Callithrix jacchus: one gene and its partners. The protein of the gene in region 3 purifies or fractionates together with the protein of the main gene of each other region. This does not show direct contact. Links are inferred from orthologs where the notes say so. Each region holds a gene or a part of one and is shown on either strand. Other genes may lie near its edges.

The links. Proteins that work in one complex are often made in the same cells at the same time.
Region 1: the proteins of EZH2 (region 3) and NUMA1 purify together in Homo sapiens (affinity purification with mass spectrometry; 3 studies listed by BioGRID and IntAct, with this or other methods). This does not show direct contact. The link is inferred for Callithrix jacchus from reciprocal best matches to the Homo sapiens genes EZH2 and NUMA1.
Region 2: the proteins of EZH2 (region 3) and SIRT1 purify together in Homo sapiens (affinity purification with western blotting; 3 studies listed by BioGRID and IntAct, with this or other methods). This does not show direct contact. The link is inferred for Callithrix jacchus from reciprocal best matches to the Homo sapiens genes EZH2 and SIRT1.
Region 4: the proteins of EZH2 (region 3) and HDAC1 purify together in Homo sapiens (affinity purification with western blotting; 7 studies listed by BioGRID and IntAct, with this or other methods). This does not show direct contact. The link is inferred for Callithrix jacchus from reciprocal best matches to the Homo sapiens genes EZH2 and HDAC1.
Region 5: the proteins of EZH2 (region 3) and FAM120A purify together in Homo sapiens (affinity purification with mass spectrometry, with the first as the bait; 3 studies listed by BioGRID). This does not show direct contact. The link is inferred for Callithrix jacchus from reciprocal best matches to the Homo sapiens genes EZH2 and FAM120A.
Region 6: the proteins of EZH2 (region 3) and SNAI1 purify together in Homo sapiens (affinity purification with western blotting; 3 studies listed by BioGRID, with this or other methods). This does not show direct contact. The link is inferred for Callithrix jacchus from reciprocal best matches to the Homo sapiens genes EZH2 and SNAI1.

Annotation. Positions count from the first base shown.
Region 1 is NC_133511.1:68,865,551-68,869,850, reverse strand, and holds the start of NUMA1 (nuclear mitotic apparatus protein 1), read right to left. Parts: upstream 2,801-4,300; 5' UTR 2,598-2,800; exon of another isoform or gene 2,410-2,597; intron 2,049-2,409; exon of another isoform or gene 1-2,048. UniProt on the Homo sapiens protein: Microtubule (MT)-binding protein that plays a role in the formation and maintenance of the spindle poles and the alignement and the segregation of chromosomes during mitotic cell division.
Region 2 is NC_133513.1:62,528,741-62,532,881, forward strand, and holds the start of SIRT1 (NAD-dependent protein deacetylase sirtuin-1), read right to left. Parts: upstream 2,801-4,141; 5' UTR 2,792-2,800; coding exon 2,344-2,791; intron 2,301-2,343; exon of another isoform or gene 2,086-2,300; intron 547-2,085; coding exon 430-546; intron 1-429. UniProt on the Homo sapiens protein: NAD-dependent protein deacetylase that links transcriptional regulation directly to intracellular energetics and participates in the coordination of several separated cellular functions such as cell cycle, response to DNA damage, metabolism, apoptosis and autophagy.
Region 3 is NC_133512.1:98,906,161-98,909,660, reverse strand, and holds part of EZH2 (histone-lysine N-methyltransferase EZH2), read right to left. Parts: coding exon 3,444-3,500; intron 2,642-3,443; coding exon 2,463-2,641; intron 265-2,462; coding exon 169-264; intron 1-168. UniProt on the Homo sapiens protein: Polycomb group (PcG) protein. Catalytic subunit of the PRC2/EED-EZH2 complex, which methylates 'Lys-9' (H3K9me) and 'Lys-27' (H3K27me) of histone H3, leading to transcriptional repression of the affected target gene.
Region 4 is NC_133508.1:68,903,847-68,908,146, reverse strand, and holds the start of HDAC1 (histone deacetylase 1), read right to left. Parts: upstream 2,801-4,300; 5' UTR 2,735-2,800; coding exon 2,686-2,734; intron 1-2,685. UniProt on the Homo sapiens protein: Histone deacetylase that catalyzes the deacetylation of lysine residues on the N-terminal part of the core histones (H2A, H2B, H3 and H4).
Region 5 is NC_133502.1:71,100,896-71,104,967, forward strand, and holds the start of FAM120A (constitutive coactivator of PPAR-gamma-like protein 1), read left to right. Parts: upstream 1-1,272; 5' UTR 1,273-1,525; coding exon 1,526-1,999; intron 2,000-4,072. UniProt on the Homo sapiens protein: Component of the oxidative stress-induced survival signaling. May regulate the activation of SRC family protein kinases. May act as a scaffolding protein enabling SRC family protein kinases to phosphorylate and activate PI3-kinase.
Region 6 is NC_133506.1:45,525,407-45,529,365, reverse strand, and holds the start of SNAI1 (zinc finger protein SNAI1), read right to left. Parts: upstream 2,801-3,959; 5' UTR 2,721-2,800; coding exon 2,639-2,720; intron 1,959-2,638; coding exon 1,431-1,958; intron 1,351-1,430; exon of another isoform or gene 780-1,350; intron 1-779. UniProt on the Homo sapiens protein: Involved in induction of the epithelial to mesenchymal transition (EMT), formation and maintenance of embryonic mesoderm, growth arrest, survival and cell migration.

The sequences.
Region 1 (4,300 bases), on a different chromosome or scaffold from region 3:
ACATGTGAAGGATGTATGTATCTATAATAAGAAAGGAAGGAATAAAATGCAAGGAAAACTGGACAAACAGTAGACATATATGGGTGAAACAAAATAATCACTAACAATGTAAAACAACACACATTTTAATTGAGATGGAGTCTCACTATATTGCCCAAGCTAGCCAGGAACTCCTGGCCTCAAGCAATCCTTCCGCCTGCTCCTCCTGCCTCAGCCTCCAGAGTAGATGGGATGACATAGCCAGCCACCATGCCCAGATACAAAGTAATAATAATAATTATTTTTTTAATAAAAAAATATGGAATGCTTCACGAATTTGCGTGTTATCCTTTCGCAGGCGCCATGCTAACTTCTCCGTATCATTCCAATTTTAGTATATGTGCTGCCGAGGCGAGCACAAGTAGTAATTATAGAATTGCTCAACATCGAGATGGATTGACTTTGGGAATGGTCTCATTCTAGAAAGTCCTCATTTTGAGTCTGGGCAACACCTTTTCATACGTTTAGTGGGTTAGAGGCTGAATTAAATGACCACACCCTTTCAATGGCAATAACAGCAATTACTTTTGCACCAACCTATATCTTCTGATCATAATTTTATCAATTAGACACAGCTGTCCAAACAGCCCCTGATCAGCTCTGTTTAGCCACCTAAGGAGGGCTTTGCCCTCATCCTAACAGTTCGAGAATTCAAGTCTTATTTCAAGGCATTCTTCCCGCTTCCATATTCCACATGTAAAAAAGAATTCTATGTTCCCTAATGAGCTTTCAGGTAAGATCTTTAAGCTTTTGGGGTGCACAGTTTTTTGCTTTGAACTAAGATTAGGCATTACAATTAGTCATCACTGCTTGAACTTAGGCCAAGAAAAGAGTACTTCGGAAGCTTTCACAACGTGTGTGCTTCTTCTAAAAGAGAAAATACCACACAGAAGCAGAGGGAGAGAGGAAACATACACCCATCCGTGCTGACTGAAAGCTCCTTTACATGATTTTCATGCTCACCCCCGGTTCCCATATATTCACAGCAGTAAAGATCTCCACAAAGTAGACAGGCCCAACTCCCTTACTATTAAAGCTTTAACGACCAGACAACCCAGAAGTTTGGAAACATAGAACCAGCGAACAGATACTAGAGAGAGGGAGGTATGTATTAAGGCAAGAAAATATCATCACGTTTTCAAGAGGGAGTGACATTCCAGGAAAGAGGACAGCTTAATACTTAGGTTCAAATGCCACTAAATGAAAATGGGGGCCGGGCGCCGTGGCTCACGCCTGTAATCCCAGCACTTTGGGAGGCCGAGGCGGGTGGATCACGAGGTCAAGAGATCGAGACCATCCTGGTCAACATGGTGAAACATTGTCTCTACTAAAAATACAAAAATTAGCTGGGCGTGGTGGCGCGTGCCTGTAATCCCAGCTACTCCGGAGGCTGAGGCAGGAGAATTGCCTGAACCCAGGAGGCGGAGGTTGCAGTGAGCCGAGATTGCGCCATTGCACTCCAGCCTAGCGAAACTCCGTCTCAAAAAAAAAAAAAGAAAATGGGAAAGCAAAGTTCCTGTGCCCTTTCAGTCCAGGAAAACACATTATTCCAAAGCAAACATTAATGCCCATTACATGTCGCAAATCCTGCCTTAGCCATTAGGATACAGTGACGAAAAAGTCTCTCATTATCTAGAAGGGCAGACAAACACGCAGAGACTCTTAAAATACCAGATGACAAGTGCTAACTCAGAGGTAAGCAAAAGAGAGTACCCAGAGGCGGGAGCATCAACCCACAATCTTCACACAGTCACATCACTTATAATCATAAATTTGTACCCTCCGAGGTGAGTGTATGAAACATGTTATCTGTGAATAAAACAAAATACCAAAACAAAACAAGCCCATAAAATAAAAAATAAAAAGACCTACCTCTTTTGACCAGGATAACTACCCCAGGAAGTAGGTAAGTTTACATATATGAAAAGTGAGGCTCAAAATACACCGACCAGCCCAAGACAATGCGCACCCCCACAAAGCACCTTCCCCGTCTTCATTTATGCCCAACTGGCAAAACCCCAAGTAGAGCCAACCTCGCATTGGCTACGTAACCCTGGCCAAGCTAAACATTAAAAACCTCGGCCTCCCCATCTTTAAAGTATAACAGGTGCTTAGAGGATTGAAAAACCATTGGGAGGTCATTGTGGACAGTGTAGCTCAGAAAAATGCTGACTACTGCACTACCATAACTACTGCTATTGATAACGATAAACGCTGAAGACTTTCCAGGACCCGACCCCTCGCTTACAAGCCTTTCAGGCACTACCCTACCCCCAAACCCCGACCCCCGTCGCCCTCAGACTTAATTTCACAGACACGCCCCCAAACAGACCCTCCCCTTTATGGCACCCCCCCCGGCTCCTCCCCCTCAGACAGGCGGCTCTCCTAACAAACCTTACCCCCAAATTGTGCCCTTTCGGACTCGGTTACGGAGGAGGCCTTCCGCTCACACCGGCCTCTCCAGCACCCCGGTGCGCAGGCCGCATGCCAGACGCGGGCCCGCGCCGGTTACCTGGCTGCACGCTCCCGCTCCGCCTTGCGATTCCCACTAATCGTACCTTATCCCGGGCTCTGGCCAGCGCTGTGAGCGCACAATTAGTTTAAACTATGGCTCCGCCCCCTCGTGCTGCCCTCTGATTGGCCTCTGTCGGCAGTTGTCTTACGCGGGGCACGCTTGAAGACCCGGGGAAAGGAAGTTTGAGGGCCACTGGGAAAGAGAAGGGGTATCACCGCTTCCGGACCCCGGCCTGGATTTGAAAGCAAAGAAAACTACAAATCCCAGCGCCACCCGCGGCCTTGAAGCTCCGCCTCTGACAAACTACAGGTCCCGGTAAGCATAGCGTCAGTTCTTACGGCGCCTGCGGGATAGTGGCGACAAAAGTAGTTGCTATGGAGTTGCCCTGAGTAACCCTGAGGGACTCCGAGACTGGAGAGGAAGCAACTGCGGGTGAGTCAGGCGGGAATACAGGAAACTCATTCTAGGGGACAAGAGATCTATGGAGAAGGGAGGGGCACCCACAGAACGACTAAGAACTTCCCTGCTGGGGGATCTGAGATTTCCCCCACCTCCCCTCATTCCCTTTCACAGTGGGCAAGACACAACACCCACATGGGACAAACTGTGGGGGCAGAGGGAGGGAAAAGCATTGAGATACAAACCCATACAGATTTGGGAGTGTTTAAGAACTTCCCCCAGGGCCGGGCGCGGTGGCTCACGCCTGTAATCCCAACAGTTTGGGAGACCAAAACTGGCGGATCGCTTAAGGCCAGAAGTTCGAGACCAGCCTTAAAAACATGGCGAAACCCCGTCTCTACCAAAAATACAAAATATTAGCTGGGCTTGGTGGCGTGCTCCTGTGGCCCCAGCTACTAGAGAGGCTGAGGTAGGAGGATCGCTTGAGCACAGAAATTGAGGCTGCCAGTGAGCCGTGATTGCACCACTACACTCCAGCCTGGGCTACAGAGCAATACCCCCATCTCAAACAAAACAAAACAAAACAACGAACCTCCGCCCCCAACACAAACATAAGGCTCCCCAAATCAGATGCTTCAAGTCCCAGGCCCAACCTGGGAGATCGGAAACGCCCTCAGAAATGGGATTTGTTTTCCTCTGAAGAATTTGAACCCTCTTCCAAAACATGTTTTCCTCTGAAGAATTTGAACCCTCTTCCAAAACATGCGATTAGCATTAGATAGAGTAAATCCGCAGTCCCTACCCTAACTCTGGAGATGTAGGAAACTTCCTGGGGCGTGAAGTGCCTCTTTCCTTCCTCCCCCAAACAGTAAAACCTCTTCTCAATTGGCAGGATCCTCCCACACTGTTCCCAGATTCCCTTTTATCCCCACACCTTCTCCATGGTCCGCTTCTCAAAGCTCTAGTTAGTTATATTCTTTTTAGTCCTCACAGATCTATTACAATAAGTAACTTATCCAGCGCTTTCACAGTCTCTCTATTGATACTCTTACCAGCTCTGTTAGTCAAGGGTATTTGTCTTCATTTCACAGATTGGAAAAATGAAACCCAGAGAAAAGGGACTTGCCCAAGGCCACACACCAAATTAGTGACAAAGCTAGAACTAGACTCCAGTTCTCCGACTTTCAGCTGTCTCTTTAGCTTGAGCCTACGGCCTCAATAGCTGAAAGACCTGTTCCAAGGAACAAGTTAAACTGCCCCAGGGAAAAGTAACTTGTAGGGCCTACTTTGGACTATTTACACTTCAGCCTGAATAAGTTTCAGATCCTTCCATGAAAGCTGTAATGG
Region 2 (4,141 bases), on a different chromosome or scaffold from region 3:
AGTATAAAAGTGAAAAAAACAAGAAATATGAAGTAAGTGAGAAAGACAGTCTAACTGGATGAAGAAAAAAAAAAGGCCGGGCACAAGGGCTCATGCCTGTAATCCCAGCACTTTGGGAGGCCAAGGCGGGCGGATCACAAATTCAGGAGTTTGAGACCAGCCTGACCAACATGGTGAAACCCTGTCTCCACTAAAAAAAAAAAAAAAAACTCAAAAATTAGCCAGGCATGGGGGTGGGTGCCTGTAAGCCCAGCTACTCAGAAGGCTGAGGCGGGAGAATTGCTTGAACCCAGGAAGTGGAGGTTGCAGATTGCACCACTGCACTCCATCCAGCCTGGGCGACAGAGTGAGACTGTCTCAAAAAAACCAACAAGGACAACAACAAAAAGCATACATTTACTCTCTTAAGTTAACAGCTCTGAGCCATACCTATCCGTGGCCTTGGAGTCCAGTCACTAGAGCTTGCATGTGAGGCTCTATCCTCCTCATCACTTTCACAGGAATGAAAACCATTAGTGATAATTTCATCACCGAACAGAAGGTTATCTGCAAAACAAACCAAAAGTCAGCCAAGACTACCAAAACAATGTGCACCTAATATGTATGAAGACCCATAAAGGGTTATAGTGTAATCATTTTCATTAAGCATTTAACATTTATATTGTATGTGTAAATGCTATGGGGTCGGCTTGCACTTCTCATAGGTACAGTTTCTTCATATTTAGGAATTCTGCTCTGACTCTAAAAGTTTCGGCCAAAATCTAAAAATAAATTAAGTCTACTTAAACAGAAAAGATAGTAACATATAGAAAGTATCAACCACAAACAATAGAGTTCGTGAAACTTGTAATAAATGGAAATTTACACAAAAATGTCATTCAAATAAAACTGGCAAAGTGCACTTTAAATTCATATAATACTAAACATAGGTATCTCTGAATTGTTTCCTCTATTAAATAATAAACAGTATTAACAACACAATTATTAAATTAGCATTCAACTGTGTTGCTTGAAATCAGGGTCTCTTGACCGGGCACAGCGGCTCACGCCTGTAATCCCAGCACTTTGGGAGGCCGAAGCGGGCGGATCACCTGAGGTCGGGAGATCGAGACTACACTGACCAACGTGATGAAACCCCATCTCTATATTTTAAAAAAAATTAATAATAATAAAAAAAGGCACACATTACTTTTTTTGAGACAGGGTCTCACTGTGTTGTCCACCGTGGAGTGCAGTGGCGCGATCATAGTTCACTGCAACCTCGAACTCCTGGGCTCAAGAGATCCTCCCGCCTCAGTAGCTCGGACTACAACTGTGCACCACCATGCACGGCTAATCTTTTTAAAAAATTTTTAGTAGAAAGGTGGTCTCACTATGTTGCCCAGGCTGGTCTAAAACTTCCAGGCTCAAGAGATCCTCCCGCTTTGGCCTCCCAAAGGGCTGGGATTACAAGAAAGAGACACTGCGCCCGGCCTGACCCAAATATTGATAAAGATGAACACCTCTCAAAAATAGAAATTCCTCAGATGAAAAATATAAAACCTTCAAAAACACGACAAATGCAACATATCTGCTTCATTATACTAGCAATGTTAAATGTGTCTCAGTACATACATACAAAAGAGTATGCTTCGCCTCAACACCGTCACCGTACACAAGAGCAAGATTAAAATAAAAGTAATACGAACTGCTCTAAAAGTAGTATGACTCTCCCATGCCCACTACTAACTGCATTACAGAATGGTAATGTCTTCAGGAACAGCCATGTTCTTTATATTTTGCAGGCTGTGACTACAGAAACAGCTTTGCTCTTTTAAAAATTGTAATTTCAGGCATAAAAATATAGACCCTAAAAAAAAGCAAATTGCACAAGTGTCAGATTGCAAAAAGTAATTGAAAATGCCGACGAACGGGGACAGCAAAAAGTTGCAGACTTAAGTGTCCTGGGGGGAGGGCGGGGAGAAAAAAGCAACCCCCCCCCAAAAAAAAGGGGGAAAAAAAAAAGCTCTAACAAAAGCAATATGCTAAAAGAGTAAGAGGGAAAAGAGAAAACTTATTTTAAAGCGACTGCGAGAGCCTCCCGACCTGGCTGCTGCGCAAAGCGCAAGGCCTCCCAGGCCGGCCACAGACAGAGAAAAAGCGAATCCACCCGCAGCTCCCGCAGCAGGAACGGCAGCCCCGGAGGAGCGCAATTAAGCGGAGGGCCGTGGTGGGGAAGAGAACGCCACGGAGCCTGCCCCGAGTCTCCGGCGCGTCCCAGAGACCCCCTCAACCCCACGCCAGGAAGATCCCCGGGAGAGGGAGGAGGGGATGCGCAGTTCCGGCAGCCCGCACCCTGCGCACCTCGGTACCCAATCGCCGCCGCCGCCGCCGCCTCTTCCTCCTCGTCGCCCTCGTCGTCGTCGTCGTCGTCGTCTTCGTCGTAGAAGTCGTCAGCCGGCGGTGGCTCCTGAGATAGGCCCTGCAGGCCCGGCCCATTGTCTCCTTCCCCAGCCACGGCCGTCGCCTGGGCCTCTTGTTCCCCGCCCGCCGCCGCCGCTCCCCCTGCCCCTGCCTCCGCCTCCCGCCACAGCGCCGCCGCAGCCGCCGGGCAGCTCTCGGCCGCCGCCGGCACCTCACGCTCCGGGGCCGTCCCACCGAGCTCGTTCGGGCTCCGCTCGGGGCCAGGACCATCTCTCCGCGGCCTCTTGCGGAGCGGCTCCCCGGCGGGCGGGGACGCGGCCTCCCTCTCGGCCGCCGCCGCCGAGGGGGAGCCGCCGGGCTGAAGGACCAGGGCCGCCTCGTCCGCCATCTTCCAACTGCCTCTCTGGCCCTCCTCCGTCGCCTCCTCTGCTCCCGCTTGACGCGCGGCACTGGCGCCCCCGCGGCTCCGGCTGCGGGAGATTTAAACCCCGTCACGTGACCCGCCCCATCGCCACCCCCGCCCTCTAGGCGCTCCCGCCACCCACGCGGGCCAGACCACAACACTACGGGTCACGTGGCGGGCGGAGGCAGCTGCGTCTACTACTCCGCCTGAGCTGGTAGGAAACTGTGCCCCGGCGGCCCGCGGCCGTACCCTTCTGTGGCACAGGCGTGTTGTGCAGCCAAATTCGCCCCTCGGCCGCTTTCTCAGCTTCTCTTTCAAACCGACCTCAAATCATTACCGCCCGAACAACTCCAGTTTTGGTCCGCACTGGGAATTTTTACTTCTGCCTCAAGTGTACACCTGGCCTGCCTTAGCCTTGTCTAGATTTAGCTAAGGGTTAAAACACACATGAAGCTGGCTAAGACTCAGCTCCCTTAAATACGCTGGATAGCCGTTCTGTTTCGTCAATGGGTAGGAAGAGAGGCAAAAGGAGGCGGCTCCCTTCCCACCCTCCTCACAAGCACACCATTCTCACAGTTCTTCTTTAGCTTTTTTCTGCTCCTTGCTTCTCTCCTTAGTCGGTTGTTTTTGCCCCTCTCCGTCACTTGTAGGGTGGTATAGATTGTCAGATCCTTTAAGGCATATGTCCTCATGGGAAGACGACCTTTGACACGAGGGTTTGGAGATCAGCTGGTTTGCATTCTGGCCCCAGCTTGGCTTCAAGCGTGTGTGAATTCCCTTCTCTGGGGCTCAGTTTTCTCACGTACAGAATGGGTGTGTTGGGTCAGTATGAGGAGAGTATGGAAGGAAAAGGACTTGGCCTCCATGCACATCTGCGCTTGGTTAAAATTTGGAGTCCTTCCTTTCTAGCATGAGCTATCTATGTAGCCGTTTGTTTATTTATTTATTTATTTATTTATTTATTTGAGACGCAGTTTTGCCCTTGTTACCCAGGCTGGAGTGCAATGGTGCGATGTCGGCTCACCGCAATCTCCGCCTCCTGGGTTCAGGCAATTCTCCTGCATCAGCCTCCTGAGTAGCTGGTATTACAGGCACGCGCCACCATGCCCAGCTAATTTTTTGTATTTTTAGTAGAGACGGGGTTTCACCATGTTGACCAGGATGGTCTCGATCTCTTGACCTTGTGATCCACCCGCCTCGGCCTCCCAAACTGCTGGGATTACAGGCGTGAGCCACTGCGCCTGGCCCATTTATTTATTTATTTATTTAAGACGGGGCGGTGGGGGGGGGGCTTGCTCTGTCGCCAGGCTGGAGTGCAGAGGCACGATCTCGCCT
Region 3 (3,500 bases):
GTTGTTACTAAGCATGCAAATCCACAACCTGCAGAAGTCCAGGCTGAAAAGGCAGTTTATGGCAATTCATTTCCAATCAAACCCACAGACCTACCAAATGAAATCAATCTAAAATAAAGAAAAGTTGTTATATACAATGCCACCTGAATATAGGTGATCAGTGCTTACCTCTCCACAGTATTCTGAGATGAATTCATTTTTCTGCACAGGATCTTTGATAAAAATTCCCCAGCCTGCCACATCAGATGGTGCAAGCAATAAATGCTAGAGAAGAAAACACAATCATATAATCAAAGAAGAGGGTAAAGATGGACTAGGGACAAATTAGACTACAGAATAAAAACAAGGCTATTGCTGTCAATCTTCAGACCTGTTCTAAGGCAGTAATGGACACATACCTTCAGTCAGTGTGAAAGCTGCTGAGAATGGCTGGCTAAGTATGAAAATTATGTTTTTCTTACAGAGCAGAGAAGTATCACTGTCTTACAGAAAAAACTTTTGGTGCTGTTGGTTGTTTGCATTACTGCTGCACTTTGGCTGCCTGGTCTCCTCAGCCCTTGATTTTCTTAAGTAATTTACTTTCATCCTGAATTTAATATAAGGGCACCTCCAAATCACCTTCCTCTTCATAACTTTCCCTCTACTTCCGTCAAGTGACATCTATTACCAGTTCTAGATGCCCCCAAGGACACCCCGATTCTTCACTGGCATTTGTTCCCTCTGAAGCCCACAGCAGCTTTCTTTTAAATTTGTTCTTCCACCCTACTTCCTCAGGAAAATCTACCAAGAGGTGGCATCATGATCTTGTCAGTCCAGTAGTCTATTTTCAGCAGAAAGGCCAAGATGATCACTGCAGTAAATTATAGAGTTAGGGATGTGTTCCCAAACACATGCCAATTTTTCAACATGGCTCATTATTATGCTTTCATTCAAAATTTTCTTATGACCTTTACAAAGGCTTCCTGATCACTCAAGCTTCCAATCTATTCCTATTCTGGAACATCCTACCACTCACCTGTGAGGTGAACTTCCCAAATACTCTTCTGTGCAGAAACTAAATTATAGCTAAATATTGCTATGCAAATGAAACCTAATTGGTAAAAAAGTATCTACATAGTTTAACATTTTTAAGAGCTAAAAAATGTCTTACAAAGAGGACATGTCAGTATCAATAGTATTACCCTCTTTCTGAACAAACTGAGGAAGCAGTGCAATGGCAAGTTGTTTGGGGGAGAAATGGAGATTTTTAGGTCTGAATGGGTATTGCCATCAGAAACTGAACCAGCATCACCATGACCCAATGACCTAAATGGATATATAACTGCCTAGAGTAAAATGATTTAAATGCCTAAGAGAAAAAAATCACAGCTAAAAACAAAAACAAAAAACCTGCCACCCTGTACAGCTATCTGCCATAAACACAGACTTTGGTTTAAAGACACAAGGGAACAAAACAAAGAGAAGTTCAGTGTTTTGCCTGGAGCAGAACTGCTGGTTGAAGGGGACTTGTTGGTAAAAAGTGTGATCTCAATCATAAATAAATGGTCCAACAATCAAAGATATGTCTACTCCACACCCCCCAACACACACACACACACACACACACACACACACACACACACGCAGCATAAGAGCAGGTTAATGGGAGTGAGTGCCTGGGGGATTTGATCTCCTGCTCCTTTACAAATCTTGTGACTTTGGGTTTGCTGTACCGGTAAAATGGGGTTAACATTTATTCCTCACTCACAGAGTTATCAAGATCAATGAACAAATCCACTAAAGCACTTAGAACAGTGCCTGCTATTTTTACATGCTTAATAAATGTCAGTTATTATTATAAGAAGAACTGACTGAAGAGAAAAACCTATCATCTACCCTAAAAAAAAAAAAAAAAGACAAATTTCCCAAATACATGTTGTTGCAGTTTCTTTTGCTCAATAATTACTTCCTGACTGATACAGTTAAAATTACCTACATACAATTCCCAGAATTCAAATATATAATTCCTGGCTGGGTTTTTTCCAAGGTTATTAAACAGGAACTAAGTAAATAAAAACCTGCCGTGGGAAATTTCATCTTTTACCCTACATAGTAAGGAACCTATAAATACTATCTGATGAGAATGACTCTGTGTTTTGATAGAAATCACCATTTATTTGCATTAAGGATACTAGATAAAGAGAAATTCAAATCTCTATTAAACAGCTCCTATTTCAAATCTGATACCATGAATGGCTACTTCTCAGAATTTGCTGGTTTCTCCCACCAACACAGTACGGTGTTCTCTAGAATGAAGAGACTGCCCCAGAGTGCATTACCCAGAGAAAATTATCAACGCTTTCTCTCTTATCAGTTGTACCTTTCAAGGATCACTTTTACTTTTTGCCCCAGTGAAATCATCTAAGACAATCCTGAGATTAGCATCACTAAAAACAACCTTCCAGAAGCAACTTGTTGCTCACCTTTTTGGAGCCCCGCTGAATACTGCAGTTCTTACAAGACACATTTTTACTGTCCCAATGGTCAGCAGCTCCACAAGTAAGACAGAGGTCAGGGTCGCACTCTCGGACAGCCAGATAGCATGGGCACTGCTTGGTGTTGCACTGTGCTTTGCAGCGGCATCCCGGAAAGCGGTTTTGACCTTCAGAGAGAGGTGTGGAGGTTCTTCACTCATCATCAACACCATGACTATCACAATCATCACCATATGCAAGAACTTGCAGAAAGATATGTGGCAAGGGCTGTACTGAGCATCTGACTGACTCAACCCTCACAACCGCCTTATTACTCTACTGTATAGACAAGGAAATGGAAGTATTAACAGCGAAGTTAAAGCTGTTTGTACTGAAAAAGACCACCATTGAGTTGTTCTTCCATTTTTCATTTGTTAAATAATGTATATATTTAAAGTAAGTGTGAATAAAGGGTTTGGATGAAACAATATCCATGGTCCTTGACCATTCTAATAGCTCCTGGTTCTAAACACTCCCTTAGTATTCAAGCTTAATGTGCAGTTTCATTAAACAATTATTATAATCCCCTACATTTGTGCTACATTCCTTTATTCTGAAGACTAAAACCTTCCTAAACTCTGACAACTTCTGGTGCCCAAAAATTATGTGGGTAGCTCCTTCTAGATTTCTCTTACAATCTGTGCCGACTTTAATATGACTTAATTTAAATGATCAAAGAAGAAAAAAATAAAATTCGGATTCCTTTAATACAACTTTGCCTGCCTCACACACATAGACACACAACACCCAGGCAACTGACTGGTCACTGGCAGGGGCCAGGTATGGGGCTCAATCAATACCTGTAGAATCGATGAATTTCCTAAAGTAAACAAGGGAGTGCTCCTGTGTTCTCACTTTTTGATTTTTTAAATTGCTGACCAAAGGCCTATTTAGTTCTCATGCAATTGCATCAAAGCAACAAATACTTACACTCTGAACTACATTGACAAAACTTTTCACAAAAATTTTGTGCTATCACACAAGGGC
Region 4 (4,300 bases), on a different chromosome or scaffold from region 3:
GCCACCGCGCCCAACCAAAATTTCTATCTTCTAAACTGCCTACTGGATGCCTCTATTTGGATGTCCCCTAAACATCTTAACAGTTATCAATAGCTATTTCTAAAAAAAACAAAAAACAATGGCTTAGGCCTGTAATCCCAGCACTTTGGGAGGCCGAGGTGGCAGGATTGCTTGAGGCCAGGCCCAGGAGTTCAAGACCAGCCTGGGTAATATATTGAGACCCTGTCTCTAGAAATTAAAAGAAAAAAAAAGTTATCAACTGACATGGCATTCTCCAAACCTCTAAACACTCACTATCAAATTGCCAACACCAGATGCTGGGCACTGTGGCTCATGCCTGTAATCCTAGCACTTTGGGAGGCTGAGGCAGGCAGACCACTGGAGGTCAGGAGTTTAAGACCAGCCTGGCCAATATGGTGAAACCCCATCTATAATAAAAATATAAAAATTAGCCAGGCATGGTGGTACACACCTGTAATTCCAGCAACTCAGGAGGCTGAAGCAGGAGAATCCCTTGAATCCGAGAGGTGGAGGTTGCAGTTGCAGTGAGCCAAGATCATGCTACTGTACTCTCACCTGGGTGACGAAGCTAGATTCCATCTCGGAAAAAAAAAAAAAAAATTGCCCACACCAGGAACTTGGGATCCATGTCTTCTCCCTTACCCCTACAGTCATGAACTTCTTTTTTTTGTTTGTTTTTGTTTTTTTGAGACAGAGTCTCGCTCTGTCGCCCAGGCTGGAGTGCAGTGGCGTGATATTGGCTCACTACAACCTTTGCCTCCCAGGTTCAAGCGATTCTCCTGCCTCAGCCTCCTGAGTAGCTGAGATTACAGGCACGTGCCACCATGCCCAGCTAATTTTTGTATTTTTAGTAGAGATGGGGTCTCGACATGTTAGTCACCCATGATCCACCTGCCTCAGCCTCCCAAAGTGCTGGGATTACAGGTGTGAGCCACCTCACCAAGCCTAATTTTTGTATTTTTAGTGGAGACGGGGTCTCACTATGTTGGTCAGGCTGGTCTTGAACTCCTGGCCTCAAGTGATCTGCCTGCCTCGGCCTCCCAAAGTACTGGGATTAAAGGAGTGAGCCAGAGCACCCGGCCCCCATGACTTTAATTTCTAAGGTATGAACCTGATGATGTCACTAACCTGCATAAAACTTCAATCATTCACAAGTGCCCTCAATAAAGTCCAACTTCCTTGGGACAGCATGCCCAGCCCTTCATGGTCTGGTCCCTATTTACAACTCTTTTTTTTTTTTTTTTTTGCGACAGTTTCACTCTTGTCACCTAGGCTGAAGTGCAATGGCGTGATCTCAGCTCACTGCAACCTCTGCCTCCCAGGTTCTAAGGGATTCTCCTGCCTCAGGCTCCAGAGTAGCTGGGATTACAGGCACACACCACCATGCCTGGCTGGTCCCTATTTATTTCTGCAGCCTCATTATTTGCAACCCTTCCCTCGTCCCTGCTCCCCACCTTCTACACTAGGCCCCCAAATCTATGCCTCAGCCATACTGTTACAAAGCCTGTCTTTCTTCCTCTTTCTTTCTTTGAGACAAGAGTCTCCCTCTTTTTTTTTTTTTTTTTTTTTTTTGAGACAGCCTCCCTCTGTCGCCCAGGCTGAAGTCCAGTGGCCTGATCTCATCTCACTGCAACCTCCACCTCCTGAGTTCAAGCAATTCTCTTGCCTCAGCCTCCCAAGCAGTTGGGATTATAGGCACGTGCCACCACGCCTGGCTACTTTTTATATTTTTTGCAGAGGCAGGGTTTTGTCATGTTGGCCAGGCTGGTCTCAAATTCTTGACCTCAAGTGATCCACTCGCCTTGGCCTCCCAAAGTGCTGGGATTACAGGCGTGAGCCACCGTGCCCGGTCAAATGATTGTTTTTCAAAGGTGTTGTCCTCTTTCTTGTCTCTGAACTTGCTGTTATGTTTGCCTTTCCCGTGCCTGGCTAAGAACTCCTGTTTTTCAGGACCTAACTGAGATGGTCCTGAAATGTCCCCTCCTTCGCTGACTCCACAGGTGGAGTTCAGTGCCTCTAATCTGTGTTCCCCTAACACTCTGAGCTCTGACAAGGAGAGAACTTCGGTCGTTGGGAAGGGTGACCCGATCATCCCCACGGCCCCAGCCCCTCAACACTTTCTCGAACACAGTAACCAGTTTGAGAGATCAAGTGAGAAGTGTGTTCTAACAGGTTGCATCCTTCTCCTTGCAACCCCAGGCGCCCCAACGTCACAGCAGCAACCGCAGGCCCAGCTCAGAGGCTGGGGGAGGGGAGGCGGGCGACCAGTCGTGCACGACTCTTCCCTCAGAAAAGATGAGGAAGGGACGGGGCAGGGAAGAGCTTTGGGTTCTCGGCTGGAAAATTTATCCTCGCAGCCGTCTCCATCAGATCCAGCCTCCCCTCTAGGAGTCCCACTCAAACTCTCCCTATCGGACTTCCTCAGAATCTCTCCACCAAGATTATCTCAGGCTTCCCCCACGCGATCCCCTCTTGGTCTCAGCCTCGATCTTCTTTTCTCGCAGCCTCCTCCCTCAGCCTCGACTTCCCCCTCGCAGCCTCCTCTCCGAGCCTCTCCCCAGCGCCTCAGCCTCCCGCAGCCTCCCCTCGGCGCTCCAGCCTCAGCCTCCAGGTCCCGGGTCCGGCCCGGCCCGGCCCCGCCCCCGCCGCGAGGACGGTGCTCACCGTCGTAGTAGTAACAGACTTTCCTCCGGGTGCCCTGCGTCTGCGCCATCTTGCTCGCCTCCCGTCCCTCCCGTCAGTCGGTCCGTCAGCCCTCCCGCCCGCGGCTCCGCTCAGCGTCCGACCCAGGGGGGAGGGGGCGGGTCTCCGGCCCGCCCCGCCCGTCCCCTCCTGGGCTCACCTATAGACGCGCAGCCCGGGCACCGCTCCAGCCAATCAGCTTGCGCAGACACGGGCCCGGAACTCGGCAGGGGGCAAGGGCAGCCTGGAGAAGCGGCTAAAGGCCCCCTGGGCCTGTACCAAGGTCTGCGACAGATGGGTGGGGAGCCGCCCGGGGACCGTACCATCACTCCCGGGGGAGGAAAGCAGCTTGGTAAACTTAGGCCCACTTCGTCGTGGGAAACGTGCTTGGAGATCGGAGGCCAACTTTCTGATTTTACGGAGAATAAACCGAGGCCTACAGGGGAAAAGTGACTTGCACAAGGTCACTCCGCCAATAAACGGGCTGAACCTGGGTTAGAAAGCGAGTTTGTCACCGCAAAGGAGGGCTACAGACAAATAATTAAAAATTGAAAAGAAAAGCAACACGCGGGTTTGGAGAGGGAGAAACTGACAAGAAAGGGAAAGAAAACTAATGTTTTTTCGAGGGGCTGCTGTGAGCCAAGTACTGTGCGACAGCTTTAACTGTTATTTCAGTTATTCCTCAAAACAGCTCTCGGTCAAGGGTTTTTACTTCCATTTTACAGGTTAGGAAAAAGAAGTTCGGACTTCTGTGAATTACTCCAAGTTACACAAGGTAATTAAATTCAATTTTTCAATTGTTGAGGATTTTTTGAATGCCTTCTTTGCACCAGAGGCTCTGTAAAAAAGTGACAGAACCCAGCCTTTCTGACTCCAAAACCTACCTCCGTGATTCAGTCACCCAGGATGACTAAGTAGGAGTCTCTTTAGACAGGAGAAAATGGGATTATCCCGCGATAGGAGGGCAGGTTTCTCAGCCTGGAAACTAATGACATTTTGAGCCGGGTAATTCGTTGTTATAGGACGCTGTTCTGTGCATTATAGGAAGTCTACCGGCATCCCTGGCCTCTACCCACTAGATGCCAGTAGCACCCTCCCCCCAGGCTGTGACAACCAAAATTGTCTCCAGACATTGCCAAGTACTGTGCAATAGCTTTACCATTGGGTTGGGGGAATATTAGCCAGGTATAAGGGAGTGTAAAATTGACCCCAACTCTCCTATTGAGAACCACTCCACCAGATCATCAATTACCAACTGATCATCATTGAAAGCTAAAAAACCAGGGCTGGGCGAGGTGGCTCACACCTGGGATCCTAGCACTTTTGGAGGCCGAGGCGGGTGGATCACGAGGTCAAGAGATCCGGAGTATCCTGACCAACATGATGAAATGCTGTCTCTACTAAAAACACAAAAATTAGCTGGGCATGGTGGCACACCCTATACTCCCAGCTACTTAGGAGGCTGAGGCAGAATCGCTTTAACCCGGGAGGCAGCGGTTGCAGTGAGCTGAGATCACCGCACTCACTACATTCCAGCCTGGTGACAGAGTGACACTCTGTCTCAAAAAAAAAAAAAAAAAAGAAAGAAAGCTGAAAG
Region 5 (4,072 bases), on a different chromosome or scaffold from region 3:
TATGACACTGGCTTGCGTTTGAGGTGGATATCAGAAAAGAAAGCAGAAAAACCCAACTTGCCTTTTTCACCGGGAATATGGGGGCTTCTTTGGCCAAATCGTGTGCGTGCAGGATCCATGTGCTGGGCAGCGGGTCTCAGGGCCACAGCCTGTGGGCTGCATCCTGCTCTTCTACAGAGGCTTCTCCAGAAAAAGAACAGATGGAGAGGTGAAGATAAGTAAAAGCGGTATTTTAAAACTTTTAGAGTGCTGGGTTCTAAATTTATATTCTGAAAGACAATCTCTTTTTGAAAATGTTTTATGCAAGTCTAATATACATACAGTATCAACCTCGTTTTAGAAGCAATTACGACAGAACGTTGGAACAGAATTCACGTAATCGACCTCCTTCCAGAAGCTGCTACTAAATCAACAAGATTCAAATCCCTCTCCTTAAGAGGAGCAGCGCGAGCCACTGCAAAGACGCACGTTTCAGTCGGGCCATTCCGCAGTGGGAACTAAACCGAACGCAGGCTTTCCCACGCTTCAACAGACCTGTGATCTCAAGACAGTCTCTTCCGTGACGTGGAGGCACTTCGGACTACCTGTACCTTCAGACATTATGGTGTGTTTGGCCATGTCATTTGTCACAGGTGTAAAAATCACAACAATCGAGAGCCCGAAGCTGCTGGGATGAGCACCTGCGGCAGAATCGCGCTCCCGCGCTCCTTCCTGCTCTTTCCAAGAAGACAGGCGTGGCCGTCCAGCATCCCGCTCCCCCGGACCCCGCAGTCCTTGTCGGCAGGAGGCCCGGAGTGGTGCGAGCCGAAGGTGGCGTTAGAAAGGCGGCGTCCCGACCAGCAGAGTGACTCGGCCTCCGGCTCCCCCTCAAAGCGCCATCTTGTCGCCGCTTCCCTCAGGAGAAGACGAGCTCTTCCCTGGGACCTGCTTCGCGGCTTCCCTTTGCCCGAGTAACACCGGGCGGGGGCGGCGGCCTCTCTGGCCCTGCCGGCGACAGAGCGCAGGGAGGGGAGCGGCGGCAGACTGGCCTGAGGCCGGCGGGCGGGCGGCCTGTAGCCTCCAGGCGCGGCCTGCTGCGGCCCAGGCGCCTCCTCGATCCCGCCCCTGCCCGGCTCCGGACCTCCGCCTCTGCCGCCACCGCCTCCGGGAGCCCGGAGCCGCGTCCCGCCGGCGCCGCCTCTTCCGCCTGCTTGCCGGCGGGCCTGCGCGGGTCTGGGCGGCGTCCGCGCCGGGCGGGTCCGCTACGTCAGCGCCGCCCGCCCGCCCCGCCCCGGCCCTCAGCCTCGGCCTCGGCCTCGGCCTCGCAGCGGCGGCAGCGGCGGCGGCGGCAGATCCCTCCCCAGACATGGCCCTGGGAGGCGGCAGCACATGGCGGCCGCGGCGGCCATGAGCGCGCCCCCGACCCGCCCCAGTCCCCCCTAGAGGCCGCCGCCCCCGCCCGCCCGCCCGCCCGCGCGCCACGGCCCCACCGCCCCCGGCCCCGCCGCCCCCCGCCCGCACCCGCGCCCGCGCCCCCGCCGCCGCCATGGGCGTGCAGGGCTTCCAGGACTACATCGAGAAGCACTGCCCGAGCGCTGTGGTGCCGGTGGAGCTGCAGAAGCTGGCCCGGGGCAGCCTGGTGGGCGGCGGGCGGCAGCGGCCCCCGCAGACCCCGCTGCGCCTGCTGGTGGACGCCGACAACTGCCTGCACCGCCTCTACGGCGGCTTCTACACCGACTGGGTCAGCGGCGGCCAGTGGAACCACATGCTCGGCTACCTGGCGGCGCTGGCCAAGGCCTGCTTCGGCGGCAACATCGAGCTCTTCGTCTTCTTCAACGGCGCGCTCGAGAAGGCCCGGCTGCACGAGTGGGTCAAGCGGCAGGGCAACGAGCGCCAAACGGCGCAGCAGATCGTCAGCCATGTCCAGAACAAGGGCACCCCGCCGCCCAAGGTCTGGTTCCTGCCGCCCGTCTGCATGGCCCACTGCATCCGCCTGGCGCTCATCCGCTTCCACGTCAAGGTGAGGCTGGGGATCCGGGCGGGCCGGGGACCGGGGGCCGCGCCGCACCCTTATCCCCTTTCCCAGGGCGCAGAATGTCGCCCGGCCGTGGCGGCGCGGGGGGCGGCGAGCTCCCCCAGCCCTGGCTCTGGATAGCCGGGCCGGGCCGGGCCGCGCCGCAAGATGGATGGCCGCGGGTGCAGGCCGCGCGCTGCCCAAGCCCGCCTCCAGCTGTCCCTGTTCGGGGTCCACGGCAGCGTGGGGACACTTGAGGGCTGGAAGAGAGCCGCCCGGGACCAGAATTCGGAGGCAGCAGTGTCATCTTCCCCAATATCCGTAGTTTTTCCCGTCCTTTTTGAGGCGGGCAGGCTATCACTCACCTTTAACTTTGACAAAATACTCCCTTTTCTAATTTAGCCTGTTCTTTCCCAGCAACAGGTTCATCTTGGAAGCAGGCAGGATACAGAGTAATAGAGGGGGTTTCGCCGGGGCCCTTGGGGGCTGCAAGTATCAGTGCTGCCGCCGCCGCCCTTGCCAATGTTGTTAGCCCGGTGACAGCGAGACGTGTCTAAGGGCTAGTGCCCTGCCCGTATTCCTCTTAGAACGAGGTGTTTAGAGATCTTTCTATGGCTTTTTGTGTTAAGATTTCAAAGAACCGTGCACTTTGACAGGATGGGATTTTGTCAGTTCTGTGACTTCAAGTCCGTGTGAAAGAGGTCTTTAAGGCAGTTCAGTTTTGTAGATCCCATGCGAAAGGAGTCGCTCAAAGTCAGGGGCCGAGCCACGCGGGCGTGAACTCGCAGGATTTATTTTTCGGGTGCACAGTAAGTATTCAGTGACCTTCAGCGGCGCCCTGACGGGTGGGTAACCAGAGCTCTACATCACCGGCCTCCTCTGGCCCTTTGGCAGAGGGCTCCGCAGCTGGCACTGGGCCAAAGGAGAACTTCAGGACCCAGCAGTGACTGTGAAGATAAGTACATACATGATCCTGGACTTCACGTTGTGATTGCTTGCTTTTTTCATTGATTTTCTTGAAAACAAAATTTGGGGAGGCTTTTTGCTGCCTTAGCTCTTGCCATTCTATCTTCCATCTTGTTATTCTTTGACATTTCCTTGAAACTGCTGGAGCTGAAAATTTGTGAAATTCCGTCTTCGCGGTTGCCCCCACTGCCCCGCGACGAGATGGTGGTAGTTAAGCCTAAAATGATAGCGGAAGTCCCACCCAAGATCTGGTTGCAATTGGTGAGATGGTGTTTAAGCCGTGGGTGGAGGCGGCCGGCAGAGTCCCGATTGGCCCCTGCGCCTGGCAGACACACAGCTGCCAGTCCACAGGGAAGTTCGTGTGAGAGGAAGTGCCTGCCTCTTAAATCTGGGGCGCTCAGGGAAGTAAGGTGCTGCCATTTGTCGGAAGTGATCCACCTCCCGAATAGAGCGTAAAAGTGTTCATAGTTTAGTCTTGCTCAGAAATGGAAAAGACTGCTTAAAAGACAGGATGAGCTGTACTTACTTGCCTTTGATAACCGCACATCTATCTACTTAACTAGTCAAGTAACTTTCAAGGGAACACTGTTGACTATTACTTAGGATTAGAATTAGTATGTATGCATATGGTCACTGTATCGTGAAAGAACTGTTTTAATTCTATGATTTCTTTATCTCTGCACCCCTTTGAATGCCTTACACACCTAGTAGGTGCTCAGAATTCTGACCAATGTGTAACTGTTTGGAAACTAGATTTAAGCTACATTTAAGATCATCTTTTCCACTTAGGTTTCTGGACACTGGATAACTTTGTCTATATTTTGCTTTTGCTAAGCTTTTATTTATTGATCTAACATCATGTTATAGTGTGCATTGCACAAAATGAATATTGTAATGACTCAATTACCTGGTGGTTTCTTAGCTGGTCACCTTACCTTTTTGAAAAGTGCCTAAGAGATTTAGCTACTAGAAATTTCTCAGTAACCAAACAAGATGTCAGGAAGTTTGGGTACAATGATGTGGGGTTGGCGGGGGCGGGGGGTTTGGGGGCCTTTGCTTTCCCCACTGAAGAATCCTTTACGCTCTCTCACTCACGGGCTGTCCTCTTTTTAG
Region 6 (3,959 bases), on a different chromosome or scaffold from region 3:
CTGCCATGCACTGGGCCAGCAGCTGCGACTGGAACAGGTGCTGGGCACCGCTGCCCCATGCACCTGCTCTGCTCCTCCCAGCCCCCACCCACTGGGCCCACCATTAAGGCACACAATGGGAGTCAATGAGGACAGCAGTGATACATTTCTGTGTCCCAGCCGTGCCTTTACATTAAAATAATGCCGGATTGGGGGCAAGGGAGGGGGGACAGCAGAGCAGCACCCTGAGGGGTTCAACGCTCCCAAAATAGAGCCCTGTGAGCTAGGCAGGCACCCAGAAGGCCAGGCAGTTGGACCTTTACATGTTAAAATCAGGGCTAAGGGTGCACAAAGGAAGAGAAATGGGTAGCCTTAGTTGAGTAAGATGCCAATAAAGCCTGCAAAAGGCCAGGCCTTCCAGACACCGCACTGACCCTCACCACTCCGAGGTCAGGTGCTGGGTCAGGAAATGGCAGAACCTGCCCGGGGTGAACCCCTGGAATCTCCTCTCTCAACCGTCACTCTCCAGAGCAGCTCTGGGCATGGTGGTCACCACCATTCAAGTTCTAAAAAGTTCTACCTTTTCTCCACGTCCAGAAAGTTTCCTACGCATTTAGTAAATTTTCAAGACACCAAGACATGATTGCGCTGTCTGCCCCAAAGATGCCTTTCCTGGTCTGCCAGATAGGACTGAGTGGGGGTGGGGAAGCAGACCAGAGAACCACCAGGTATGATAAATTACTGCAAAGTGATTAGCATAAAGTGATTATCAACCTTCACAGTCACTCTCTAAAACTTACCTATCATAATCCTCCCCTGAGGCTCAGAGAGGTTAAGTTGCTTGCCCAAAGTCACACAGCAGGGAAGCCGAGCAAACGGCAAGGAAGCATTTTTGTGAGCATTTAGCAGGTACCAGGCACTTTGCCAGGTGCTTCCCATACGCATTCCTGCATTTAGCCTGCATAGAAACCCCATAGGCTGTTCTCATGCCCATCTGAAAGATAGGGAAAATGAGGCTCACAGAAGTGAAACATCAGACCAAGCTTTGAGAAAGTTCTCAAAGCAGGATTCAGAGCCAGGTGGGGGGGGGGTCTGACAACATCCTGTCTGGCTAGGGAGGGGTGGATCAGGAGAGGGTGGGGCCAGGCGGACCCCTTCGCACCTGGCCACCACCACAAGGTGCTGGTGGCACCTTTCCCATATCCAGCTCCTACCCATTTGGCTGAGAAGCTGGCTGCAGGGGATTGGAAAGGTGTCTGCTTTGCCCATCTGCTTAGCTGATGAAGGAACATTTCTGCCAAACGTTTCCAGAGAGCCGGGCCCCTGAACTTGAGTTAGAAGTTAGGAGACTCGGGGCCTCCGTGTCTACAACTTTGAGAATGAGAAAAGTAAGCCCAGATTCACAAAAGCTGGCAGAGAAAGCAGTGGGGCGGGCCAGGAGGGGCACTTACCAGTGTGGGTCCGGACGTGGCCTTGCAGCAGCCAGGGCCTAGAGAAGGCCTTCCCACAGGTGCCACAGACGCAGGGCAGCGTGTGGCTTCGGATGTGCATCTTCAGGGCACCCAGGCTGAGGTATTCCTTGTTGCAGTATTTGCAGTTGAAGGCCTTTCGAGACTGGAGATCCTTGGCCTCAGAGAGCTGGGCCAGCTGCTTGGGCACTTGGACCAAGCCTGGGAAGACAGCATAGGCCTCGGCCTCCAAGGAAGAGGCCGAAGTGGAAGAGAAGGACGAAGAAGCCGGTGAGGGTGGGCTGGGGGGCTGGGAGCCTTTCCCGCTGTCCTCATCTGACAGGGAGGTCAGCTCTGCCGCCCTGGGGCTCTCCTGGGCCCGAAGGGAGGCCCAGGCAGTTGGCTGGGCTTGGGGGGCCAGGACAGAGTCCCAGATGAGCGTTGGCAGCGAGGCCGTGGGGTTGAGGATCTCCGGAGGTGGGATGGCTGCCAGCAGGTGGGCCTGGTCATAGGGCTGCTGGAAAGTAAACTCTGAGGGAGAAAGAGCAGAGTCAGGCGTTAATTAAATCATTCACTCAATCAACAAACTAGAGCCCACCGCTGGCCAGGGGCTGGGTGAGGCTGACTCTCAACACATAATTAGATCAATAAAATTATCCATAGGGCAGACCAAATTCCTGCCCTCCTCGCCCAGGTCACCCAACCTGAGTCTCTCACAGGTAGGACCCCCAGTTGAAGAGGGTCATTTCCAGATCTCGGTCTCCTGAGTCCCAAGTCCCCAGCCTGAAGCCAGAAGCCCATTACCCCAGCCCCCGAGCCACCACTCCACCCCAGTCCCCCTCCTCACACACATCTGGTCTCTCCACCCCTCTCCTCAACACTCTGGACTCCGGACTCTCCCCAGCAGCGTCCGGCGGGCCCTCCTGGCACAGGCCTCCTTCCCCTCGGGAGCTCCTGCGCCTCTCGCAGGCTACAAAGGCCCCCCAAGCGCAAGACCCCTGCCCGCTACACGGCACCCCCCAAACCACTCAGATAGATCCCTGGGACTGGAGACCTACCTGCCCGGTCTCCCGAGCCCGAGCCCTCAATGCTCCACAAAACATCCTGCGAATCGATCCTGGCCCAAGCAGGCCGCCTCCTTCAGGTGCCCCCCACGCAGCCTTCGCCTGTCTCCCCCAAATCTCCTGGAGCCCGGGACCCCTCCAACGCACCTGGATTAGAGTCCTGCAGCTCGCTGTAGTTAGGCTTCCGATTGGGGTCGGAGGGCTTCCTGACAAGAAAAGAGCGCGGCATGGTGGCCAACGCACCGGGGTCGCCGAGTCGCTCAGAAGTAGCGCAGGAGAACCACCGCTTAGGCCGTGCCGCGGCGCAATGAGTGCACCCGCGCCGCCAACTCCCTTAAATACTCCAGGGGGCGGCAGGGGAGGGGTCTTATCTGCCTCGCCCCTTTGTCACCTCAGCACCAATCGGAGGCACGTCTCCGCCGAAGGCCACGCCTCGAGCAGGTGCGCCGGGGGCGGACCCGGCTCGCGCCGCGTGGCGCTGGGAGCCCGGGCGGAGGCTCCTGCAAGGCGGGGTTCGGGAGCGCAGCGCTGGTCGTTCCCAGTGCTGGGGCTGTCCGGGGCGGGACATCGGGCGCATTTAGGCCCCTGCGAGGCGGGACCCCTCGCACCCACCCGCTCAGCGCCCCACGGTCGGAGCGCTTCTGACGCCCCCTGGCGCTGCGCGCGGGCCGGGACACCTGACCTTCCGAAGCCCGCCCCCGCCTCGGGCTTGGGAGGGGGCGGAAATTTCCTCCGCCCGGCTGGCGCCTGGAGAGCGTGGCATTGAGGAGGGAAATGCATATTGCTGGGGAGGATGCGAGGAAACGGACACTACACGTGGCTCTTGGCAGCATGAAATGCCATGGCTTTTTTGCAAAGCAGCCTAGCGAAGTGCGCCCGTTCCTTCCCTTAGCCAGTGTTTACGGAGCGTCCAGCACGTGTGGGGCACTGTACCTGGGGCCGGGGCACAGCCCTGGACAGGACACTCAGAGCCTCTCTCGAAGTTTAGCTACCCGTCCAATGGGGGAGACAGCTGAAGTAAACAGACAATTACAATGCAAAGGGAAGTGTGCTTTGGTGGGGGAGAGACGGGACGCGGCGACCGTTAAGAGGCGGGTCACCTGACAGGGGGTCGGGGTGACTGCCCAGAGGAAGTGAAGAATTATCAAGGGGAAAGGCCCGAGGGAAGAACTGGCAACTGCTTCCGAGTAACTCCTGGAGAGCAGCTCCCAGGGATGGGGTGGGGTGGGCAGGCCCGGAGGGGTCAGATGTGAGGAATCTGGACTTTGCCTCAAGGGCACTGGGGAGCCACCGAAGGATTTTCAGCTGAGGAGGTACCTGGTTAGAGTTTCCTTGAAAAAGATCCCCGTAGGCCGGCAAAGAGTTGGGATGAGGCCGGTGTGTCTCCTGAGCCCTTTGAAGATCCCCATCCTGTCTACAGGCTCTCACGGCTCCTAAGGGACCCTGACTGAATGTATGTGTGGTGGGC